Linked DNA regions of Arabidopsis thaliana. The protein of the gene in region 1 interacts with the protein of each later gene in a biochemical or structural test. Each region holds a gene or a part of one and is shown in the gene's direction. Other genes may lie near its edges.

What was found. The genes of interacting proteins can lie anywhere in the genome.
Region 2: the proteins of CPFTSY (region 1) and ALB3 form a complex in vitro, tested with the Arabidopsis thaliana proteins (one study listed by BioGRID).

Annotation. Positions count from the first base shown.
Region 1 is NC_003071.7:18,849,179-18,854,292, forward strand, and holds CPFTSY (signal recognition particle receptor protein, chloroplast (FTSY)), read left to right. Parts: upstream 1-1,909; 5' UTR 1,910-2,069; coding exon 2,070-2,375; intron 2,376-2,482; coding exon 2,483-2,587; intron 2,588-2,663; coding exon 2,664-2,737; intron 2,738-2,848; coding exon 2,849-2,907; intron 2,908-3,018; coding exon 3,019-3,056; intron 3,057-3,228; coding exon 3,229-3,349; intron 3,350-3,436; coding exon 3,437-3,505; intron 3,506-3,597; coding exon 3,598-3,680; intron 3,681-3,795; coding exon 3,796-3,864; intron 3,865-3,959; coding exon 3,960-4,022; intron 4,023-4,110; coding exon 4,111-4,224; 3' UTR 4,225-4,563; downstream 4,564-5,114. UniProt on the Arabidopsis thaliana protein: Signal recognition particle receptor protein. Binds GTP specifically. The GTPase activity is inhibited by the N-terminus of the protein until binding to the thylakoid membrane. Activates the GTPase activity of FFC/cpSRP54 when bound to the cpSRP complex.
Region 2 is NC_003071.7:12,355,791-12,361,538, reverse strand, and holds ALB3 (63 kDa inner membrane family protein), read left to right. Parts: upstream 1-1,970; 5' UTR 1,971-2,380; coding exon 2,381-2,755; intron 2,756-2,843; coding exon 2,844-2,954; intron 2,955-3,064; coding exon 3,065-3,139; intron 3,140-3,216; coding exon 3,217-3,277; intron 3,278-3,361; coding exon 3,362-3,435; intron 3,436-3,536; coding exon 3,537-3,641; intron 3,642-3,782; coding exon 3,783-3,890; intron 3,891-3,982; coding exon 3,983-4,086; coding exon of another isoform or gene 4,087-4,120; exon of another isoform or gene 4,121-4,394; coding exon 4,395-4,544; intron 4,545-4,644; coding exon 4,645-4,870; 3' UTR 4,871-5,218; downstream 5,219-5,748. UniProt on the Arabidopsis thaliana protein: Required for the insertion of some light harvesting chlorophyll-binding proteins (LHCP) into the chloroplast thylakoid membrane.

The DNA of each region.
Region 1 (5,114 bases):
TCCCAATTCAAAGTGGATGTAGGTAATAGCTGGGAAAGGTAAAAACTGAAAAATCTTGGCCAACAAACACATGCATGCATGGCTATACATTGTAAATTACATATGTCAGCAGCATCGTGTCGTGAGCTAAGCTAAATAGCTGTGGAAATGTTCATATATTTAACAATAGTTTAAAACTGCAACGATGTGGTCGCTCACTCTATAATGTATTTTTGCGAGATATTATTATATGTATATTATCATATGACCCAAGATGACCGATGGGCTTAGCTTGCAGTACTGATGAATAAATCATTACAGACTGTTTCTGGAAATTTGTTGTTTGTTGCCCAGTTATTTCATGGCACATGGATTAGGCACTCATATCAACTATGTAGTACTTTTTCTACAATGTTGTCGTGTTGACTTGATAAAAGTATACAGTCAATCTAGGTCAATATCTACTAGTTCTTTCTTATACCGTTTTTGGTGGATAGCGGGAATGGAATTGCTAATTCTAACTTACAAGGTATGGTTTACGAATATTGTAAGTGTTTTTTTTTAGAATGCCAATTCAGATATTCAAAAAACGGAGAACATGTACTAGTCATTAAATATAGAGTAATAGAGTTAAAAATCTATAAATTTTGACCGAATACATATAAAAATATAAAAAATTAGAATAATCACCAAGTATTTCTCGGTGCTTATTAATATAAGAAGATAGAATTTAAAAATGGCTACCAAAAACAAAAATAATAAAAATATTTATTAAAATAAGCAAATTGTTAATTAGATAATTCAACAGATTTGAAATTTATAATCGGCCACTTGTTTTTTCTTTTATAATTAGAGACTCTCAAACCAAAATCTAAAGTAATTTACACGATATGTATATATAAAGTCAGGTCTAAACCACTGAATTTAGAGATCCGATCCGTTGATGGGAAAACTCAACCCACATTATCAATTCTGTGGAAAAAAGATTGTGATTTATTTATATTTTTTGTGTGGAACACATGTATGTACTATAACTGTGTAGTACATGCATATGTAATTTCAAGTACTCGTTAAAGAAAACAGACCAGCAAATTGTCTTAGTAACATTTTTCCACATACCATCTAATCGTTCATGACATCGTTTTGCTTATGTCACGTTTATGACGCTTGTATGAATGTGTTCGGCTGTTGGTGTACCAAATATACGACAAATGCGAAACATAAGAGAAAAAGATAAGTTAAACGTTATACCTAAGGAAACAAATTTGGAGTCTTCACTTTTGGTCGTCCTCAGCAAACAAATTTGGTGTATATAATAATCAAAATAGGCGAAGTCCTATAAATTGTTTGCCAACAAAATATAAATTGTCAAACTAGTATTCGCCACAAATGCACTTTTGAGTTAAAATTGAATCACGTGTGAAGAAGTTGTTGGACTTTGTTTACATCCTTTGGATCAAGTCTTAAAGTCGTTCTATGGACATTTGAGAAATCTACGGGAAATAGAGGCAAAAGAAAAAGAAATCAAATATAGTAGTAGGTTTTAAAACATACATACTTTGTACCAAAGCTTAATGGCGCCATCAATGAATGAAATAGTTGATGTGATTGTAGCTGAATGATTGCTAGTTACTTGTTGTGCTCGTTTGAGGATAAATCTTATGATTTCAAATTTCCAATATCTTTGAAAATCGTTCAAAGTAAGATATAAACATACCTTTGAAAGAGAAATTAGTATATAAACAAATAAAACTAATTATAGTTTTCAAAATGATAACTGTAGATGATTAACTATTTTCTCTCACTAATTTACTAACATATCCTTGATAAAACTTGTAATCTAGATAGATAGAATATAAAAAGACGTAATCTATTATATACAAAACAAATTTGTATTTGAGGATTTTTTTTATTTATAATTATAATTAATAGTTTTCAAAAAATTAAGCATTAACGCTGCGTTTTTCATTATTCATTTTTTTGCAGATTGGTTCATTATTGGGAAACAATAGAAACGTAAAACGCAGCGTATAAAAAAGATTATTATCCAGTAAGTCAGTAACTTACACAGATTCTCTAGCACAACTGCCATGGCAACTTCTTCTGCTCACCTCTCGTTTCTCGCCGGACGTATATCGCCGTTCTCCTCCGAACGGATCGGATTATTTCCTCTCAGAGGAGAATTTCGTCCACGAATGACCCGGTTCCGGTGCTCGGCCGGACCGAGCGGATTCTTCACGCGGCTGGGTCGGTTGATTAAGGAGAAGGCCAAAAGCGACGTGGAGAAAGTTTTCTCCGGATTCTCTAAGACTAGGGAAAATCTAGCAGTCATCGACGAGCTCTTACTCTTCTGGAATCTTGCTGAAACAGACCGAGTTCTTGATGAATTGGAAGAGGTTTTTTAATTTTAAAGCCATCTTAATTCGAATTATTGTTGATTCTCTGGGTTTCAGATGCAAATGGAGTTTCCCTGAAACCTAATAGTGGGAATAATTCAATGTAGGCGCTTTTGGTTTCTGATTTTGGACCGAAGATTACTGTTAGAATTGTGGAGAGGCTAAGAGAGGATATCATGTCAGGAAAACTCAAATCAGGAAGCGAGATTAAGGTTGATTTGAACGAAATTGTGGTTATGTTAGGGATTAGGGTTTATAGCTAGTTGATTGTACTTCTGAATGGTGTAGGATGCATTGAAGGAAAGTGTGTTGGAGATGCTGGCTAAGAAAAACAGCAAGACAGAGCTTCAATTGGGTTTTAGGTTCTCTTCATTTAGCTGTGTTACTTGTTATTCTTTCACGCCTCTGCTCTGTTGAAGTGGAGTTATGAAAGATTGTGGTTCTAAGTCTGGTTATATGTTATGGTGTATCAGGAAACCAGCTGTTATAATGATTGTTGGAGTGAACGGAGGTGGGAAGACGACATCTCTTGGTAAGGAAATTGGCATTAATGCTTTAGAGTGGGAATTCAAATGACTAGCTGGTTTGCTTTGGCTTAGCCACAGAAAGATTTATGTGAAAGATTCTGGCTTTTGTTTTTCAGGAAAGCTGGCTCATAGATTGAAAAATGAAGGAACTAAGGTACACCTTTCATGTTTGATATCATGTAAACTAGATCCTTTTTGTTCTTCTCTTGAGAGTTGAGACTAGAAAGTGGTTGCTCAAATAGGTGATGAGAAATTTTGCCAGGGTAGGTAGAAATAGAATTGAGTATCAGTATGTTCATCAGCAATCCTGCGATGATTTGTCATAGGTATTAATGGCAGCAGGTGATACATTTAGAGCAGCAGCAAGTGACCAATTAGAGATATGGGCAGAGAGGACTGGGTGTGAGATTGTTGTGGCTGAAGGAGACAAGGCTAAAGCAGCCACGGGTAAACCAATGCATTGTTATTTTGGCTTGCCAGTATCGGTGTTTGGTGCACAAACAACTTTAACATGTTTGTTCTGTTTCTGAATAGTTCTCTCAAAGGCTGTGAAAAGGGGGAAGGAGGAAGGTTATGATGTTGTACTGTGCGACACATCTGGACGTAAGCATACAAGAGTTTGCTTGCTGACTTAAAAAACATGCTTATGTACCGTCTTTACTGAATCTGAGGAACATTACACCTCTTTATGTAAGGTCTCCATACTAATTACAGTTTGATGGAGGAGTTGATTGCGTGCAAAAAAGCAGTGGGCAAGATTGTCTCTGGTGCACCTAATGTGAGTGAGCCTTTTTACTTATCCTATTCTGTTATCTTGCTTATATTATTACACTCTGTTAGTCTCCAATTTCGATCATGCGTTAGCTAAAAATAATATTTTACGGAATTGTTAGGAGATCCTACTTGTCCTTGATGGAAACACTGGTTTGAACATGCTTCCACAAGCTAGAGAATTCAACGAGGTACCATACGAAACTACCTAAACCTAGTGATTCTGGCTCCCCAAACTAGAATTTCTTCGTAAAATCTTGAGGTTTCTGGGTTACATTTTTTTCAGGTTGTTGGTATCACCGGTTTGATATTGACGAAACTAGATGGCTCTGCTAGAGGAGGCTGTGTGGTAAATATCTCATAAAATTTTTGATCTCATTCAAAGCTCTTATTTTTCATTAGCTCTGTCATTGAAACTGGTTCTCCATGTCTTGCAGGTCAGTGTGGTTGAGGAATTGGGCATTCCCGTAAAGTTTATCGGTGTAGGAGAAGCTGTAGAAGATCTCCAACCTTTTGATCCGGAGGCTTTTGTGAATGCTATATTCTCTTAAGCCATAAAACCTCGTCTTCTTCAAAAAGCTATCATCTTCAACGCAGGCCAGAGCCAAGTGGAAAATTCACAGTGAATTCGCCGGAGATGCAAATGGAAGCATTCCTTATTTTCTTGGAGATCTTAGGTTGACAAGCTTTTTCTGCAATGGATGCAAGTTTCGATTTTTAATGATGTGACAAAGCTCGTTTGCACACTGATAGTGATCACACAAGAATGTAACGAGTCATAGGAACTGCTTGTGTCTCGTCTCACTACTATTTTGTATATTGTTAATGTTGTATTTGAAAGGAATTACAAAGATTGATAAAAGAACAATGAGGGGAGGAAAACCGTAAAAAAGAAAGAAAAAAAAATGAAACTTTTTTAAAAAATATTCATAACTTGTATATAATCCACAAAACGATGCAAAGGTCAAATGACATGATCCATAATTCGATTAGTTTTCATATCATTTTGTAAAAATTAATATTCAAATTTAAAAATAAAAACTGTAAAAATGAAAGAATAAAAAACAAAAATTTAAAACTTTTGAAAATATATTAATATGAAACTTGTATATTAATTCTACAAAACATTGTGAAAACAAGTTGAATTAGTGGTATCGGCATACGACTTCAAATGACAAGATCCAAAATCCGGTTAATTTTTATTTTATTTTGTAAATCTAATATCCAAATTAAAAGTTAAAAACCATAAAAAAGAAAAAAAAACAAAAATTTTAAAATTTTTCGAAAATGTTAATAATTTGTATATTAGATCTACAAAACGATGCGAAAACAAGTTAAATTAGTGGAATCGGCTAACGATCAAAAACTGTAAGAAAGAAAAGAACAAAAATAAAATTTATAAAAAACCTCTTAGAAAAATATTAATAACATGTATATTAAA
Region 2 (5,748 bases), 6.5 Mb from region 1:
CTACATGTCAAAAGCTTAGATACACTGAAACCATGTATTTTAGTGGTTTATGCTACAATCGTGTCTATGTGTTACTATTATTAATAAAATTTATATAATGCATATTGTTAAACAAAAAGTTGACGAAATTATGACAGAAAAAAATGACGAAACAATTTCTTTTAACTCTTTATCCACAAATATCTGATTTTTTTTTTTTTTTTTTTTTTTTTTTTTTTTTTTTTTACTAGGGAAGCAATGAATTGCTCTTTTTTTCTCTCCTGGTGTCAATGCTTCAATTATGAACGTTAACTAATTTATTGCTTTATGAGCTTCTTTCTCGTCCAAACATTCTTAAAAACAATAGTGAAAGTCTCGATTACGAATTCAATATGACTACGTTCAATTTCATATATCGCTTTCCATTCTAATTTTTTAAGATTTGGCATAGGTGTACTAATCATTTGCTTCATCTGCCGAACAAATTTTCATAATTACTTTTTTAAAGAACGCATATGCGGTTATAATTTGTACCACTCTTAACTTTGCATATGAATTTACTTAATTACTTATGCACCCATTAATCAATGGAAGCCCGAGGTAATATGCAACCTGATTAAAAAATATTACGTTATTATTCTGATGGTCCGTACATACAAATATTACTTTTTATAATTTTCCTATGTATCCTTTGTATATGAATTGAAAAGCATTTTAGAGAAATAATTTCTATTTAGTAACAAATTAATGAGTTATTACCCATAAATTATTCTTACGTCTCCATCAAAAAGTGAGTTTAGCCTTGAAAGTTCTGTGTCGACGTCGTTATGTTATAAAACAATAAATACGAACTCTTAATCGTTCGTTGTCATATAAAATTAAGAAAAAAATACAACATCATCATTTTTTTTATTTTTTTTGTCAAACTTACAACATCATCATTTCTATCAAAAATTTATGTTAAAAAACAAATTATGAAATAAATAATTATTTCACAACGAAAAATAATAATAACAAATATAATTATTTTCAAAACAACTTTAAATTTAATTTCTATATATAGTATTTGGTATAGGTCTATATATGATCGTGACGTGTGAAATATAATTGAGGAACGGTGGATGATTCTTGAAAACAATGTGGAAGATATTTAATTCAGTATGATGCTTAAAAAAACTCATAACGTTAGCTATGTTTTGTTGAATATTACATCACATAAACGTATGGGTGTGCACTTAGAGCGAGCCGGTGATTATAGGTTTGTTTTTTTTGGTAAAAAATTATTGAGAGATTATTGATTATAGGTTTTGAAGCTATCGATCTGAGCTAGAGATTAAGGAACGAATCCCTCTATGAACATTTAAACCTTGTTCTTTTTGCTTATTAACTGAGAGATTAGGATCCTAAAATCTATACAACACTAGAGATCATTATCCAAAAGATTTTACTTAGTCCCATTTGCGGTCACATTTAATTCCCTAAAAGCATGAAAATTCTATCCCATTTGTTTTTTCCACTAGACTTGGGACTCAAAGCGTAATTTATAACTATCTTACGTTAGAGAGCATTATTTACGACCATTATTTAGGCTGAACTCATTATAGACATCGATCAAGCTCTAGTGTTAAATACATTTTCTTTGTGGGATTAATCTTTAAAGGCCTTGTAATCACTTACTATTTCGTAAGTTATGAAGATTTGGGAACCGGATTATGGCTTTGGGAAGTTAAGTCCTATGACTCAAGCTTACCTTTTTAGGGTTGTGTATAGGTTCTCGATAAATGTTTCAGATTAGTTCATTTGTTTTTTTGTTTATAAAAACTACATAATATAAAACGTGGAAAGAAAGTGATAATGACAAGAAATAAAAGTAAGAAAGGTGGTGGTGTGAGAATCAGATTCGATGTCAACTAATTGAAAGAGAGTACGCAGCTTTTTCTTCACAATTATATATATTTTGTGGAAAAGCTTACCATACATTCACAAAGCATTCGAGATTTGATTTTTATAGAAAAGTATTTACATAAAGTATTTTCTAAATCGGTTTCTATTTTGTATGCTTTCAGTTTTATTTTGTGTTGGGGAAGTGATCCATGCATTGAGCTTGGAGATTGATGGATTGGTAATTAAGCCTATTAAGTTAAGCAGGCCTGTTTCTAAAATGGGCCCTAATAAGCCCAAACTACAAAAAGCACCGATATATCCCACGTTAGATACATGTCCACGTGGACTCCTATGACTGGATGTAATCTCCACCACGCGCGATCACCAGCTTCGTCTCTCATTTTCATTTTCCAATTTATTTTCAAAAAAAGATAAATCCAGAAAAAAATTTACAAAATAAAAAAATAAAAATCTCTATCTTCTTCTTCGTCTCTTCTCATCCTCCTCTCAAGCTCCAATGGCGAGAGTTCTAGTCTCGTCTCCATCTTCATTCTTCGGTTCACCGTTGATTAAACCGTCGTCATCTCTCCGTCACAGTGGAGTAGGAGGAGGAGGAACCGCTCAATTTCTTCCATACCGGAGTAATAATAACAAACTCTTCACTACTTCAACCACCGTACGATTCAGCTTAAACGAGATTCCTCCTTTCCATGGCTTGGATTCATCTGTAGACATCGGAGCGATTTTCACCAGAGCTGAATCTCTTCTCTATACAATAGCTGACGCCGCCGTTGTTGGTGCTGATTCCGTCGTAACTACTGATTCATCCGCCGTGCAGAAGAGTGGTGGTTGGTTTGGTTTTATCTCCGATGCTATGGAATTGGTTCTTAAGGTGAGTTTTAAGCTGCTAATTTCGATCTCTGTGTGTAGAATTCTGGAAATTGTATTTGTAGCTTAAGTTTTTTGGTTTGGATTTTTAGATTTTGAAGGATGGATTATCAGCGGTTCATGTACCTTATGCTTATGGATTTGCGATTATCTTGCTTACGATTATCGTCAAAGCAGCGACGTATCCTTTGACTAAGCAACAGGTTAGTGAGTGTGATTAGTTGAATTTTGCAGCTCCTCTTGTCACTTTGATTCAATTTTGGCATGTTGGTTGAGAATTTTTGAGCATTGCTTTTGTTTTGGAATCCTTTAGGTTGAATCAACACTAGCGATGCAAAATCTTCAACCGAAAATCAAAGCGATTCAACAACGTTACGCAGGAAATCAGGTGAGTTTCTTTGGATAGAGAATGAGTTACTTGTGGATGACGAGTCTGATTTGTTTGTTCTGTTTTTGGATATATAGGAGAGGATACAACTAGAGACATCGCGATTGTATAAACAAGCTGGTGTTAATCCGTTGGCAGGTACTTTCTTTTAGAAGTTACGAGTTTTGTATTCCCTTCCTGAATTGTGGTGACATATGCACATTATTGTTTTTTTTATGTTAGGTTGCTTACCAACTTTAGCAACCATACCAGTTTGGATTGGTTTATACCAAGCTCTCTCTAACGTGGCCAACGAGGTACATATACCTTATGTCTCTTTCAACTACTGATTTCGCTAGAGACCGGATAAGTTTGTCTCTTTCAACTACTAATTGTTCTAAAAACTTTTTTTTTGTAGGGATTGTTTACAGAAGGTTTCTTTTGGATTCCATCTCTGGGTGGACCAACATCTATAGCTGCTCGGCAGAGTGGATCCGGCATTTCGTGGCTTTTTCCGTTTGTGGTAATGGAAGAAAAAAACTTTATGTGAATACGTTTTCTCATTTGATACTTATCTTTATACTAAAAAATTTCATACAACTGAGTCTTTTGCTGTGCAATGAACCTTTATCAAATTGGTGTCTAATATCGTTCGGTGGTGCAGGACGGGCATCCACCATTGGGATGGTATGACACTGTAGCTTATCTTGTTCTACCTGTTCTACTTATTGCCTCCCAGTATGTGTCAATGGAAATTATGAAGCCTCCTCAAGTGAGAAATAAACACAAGTTTCTTTTATTTTTCCTGTTACTTAAACAATTTGATATGATTGTTCTGAAACCGAATTTAATTTCTTTTGTCAGACTGATGATCCTGCACAGAAGAATACGCTTCTTGTTTTCAAGTTTCTTCCACTCATGATCGGTTACTTTGCATTGTCTGTCCCATCAGGACTATCTATTTACTGGTTGGTTTCCCTCTCCTTGAAACTTCTCATCTAACTGTTTTATCCATGCCCTTGATCTACTCATTAAATGGAGTATAAGAAAGATTTTCTCTAGTAATTAACCTAGATGGCTTCATTCTCAAAATGTACGTAAGACGGGTTAGAATTTCGAGGAATACGAAGCTTGTTTGATAAGGAATCATCTAGTGTGACTACATTTTGTAACATCAATATTATTGTATATGACTGTGTTTATTGGTAGGATCTGAGTTTTATTTTTTCCCTTTTTATTATGCTACTGCTTATGTTAAACCATCCTATGGTTTTAGGCTCACAAATAATGTACTTAGTACCGCCCAACAAGTATATCTGCGTAAACTAGGTGGTGCAAAGCCAAATATGGATGAAAACGCAAGCAAAATAATAAGTGCGGGACGAGCAAAGAGATCTATTGCTCAGCCTGACGATGCTGGCGAAAGGTAAGTGAATCCCGAGTCTAGTGGAGATTATATCTCTCAATACGAAGCGTTTTTCTTACAAGTTTGTTATTTCTGATAAATGTATATTGGATCACAACAGATTTAGACAATTAAAAGAGCAAGAGAAGCGCAGCAAGAAGAACAAGGCGGTTGCGAAAGATACAGTTGAATTGGTAGAAGAATCTCAGTCTGAATCAGAAGAAGGGTCTGATGATGAGGAAGAAGAGGCTCGTGAAGGAGCGTTAGCTTCGAGCACAACAAGCAAGCCGCTTCCTGAGGTTGGCCAACGAAGAAGCAAAAGATCGAAGCGGAAACGCACTGTATAGAACCAAAGCAAACGAAATTGCAAGTAAGGAAGAGAAAAGAGAGAGATTTGAATCTTGTTCCTTAGTTTGATCTTTTGATATATATTTGCATACACCATGTCCGGTAATTATCTAATATTAGGGCACAAAAAGGTCATTCTAAAGTTAAAAGCAGTAGTTGATCAAAGTAAATTGTTTATGTGATTCATCTTATTATAAATGTATTAACGTAAATGTGTGTACTATTATGACTTTTCAACATGCCCGCTTCAGTTTTGTTAGCATTTCGTTGTTGTAAACTTGCAATCTATTTGTTTGGTGCTTTTATTAGCTTTGTCAGCTTATAAAAATGGTAAATGTGAATCAAGTAGTATAGTAATTTGTGCAATAAACGAGACAACGATTCCCCATGAATAAACAACAATTACTTCCTGACAAAGAAGCATTGTTCTTTGGATTGGCATGGATAAAATAGAGAGAGGTAAAAATATTACGATTTGGATTGGGCTGAGGCCCAAGATATGGTTACACGATTTTCAAATTCTCGAAGTTGTACAAGTAGACAAAAGACATCTTGTTTTGTCGTGTTGTCGTTTGGTGTTTGTCGTTTTGATGTGTTTGTCAAAGAACCCTGTTACTAATCTGAACGAATATAACTTGTCAGTGTAGCCACATTACACTAATATTCAGAGAAAGTTGTCATGTTGTTACAATCATGAGTCACATAGCATGTAATAGAGTGTACATTTCAATAGGTTTAGAAGTTTAGAACACATAAATCAATCGGTCCATCTAAAATGTTTGCATTATGGTTTACTCATTGTAACTTGTAAACATTACATATGTGAATGCTTACTATCCTAGAAAAGCAAAACTGTTGGAAACAGCTAAAAATTAAT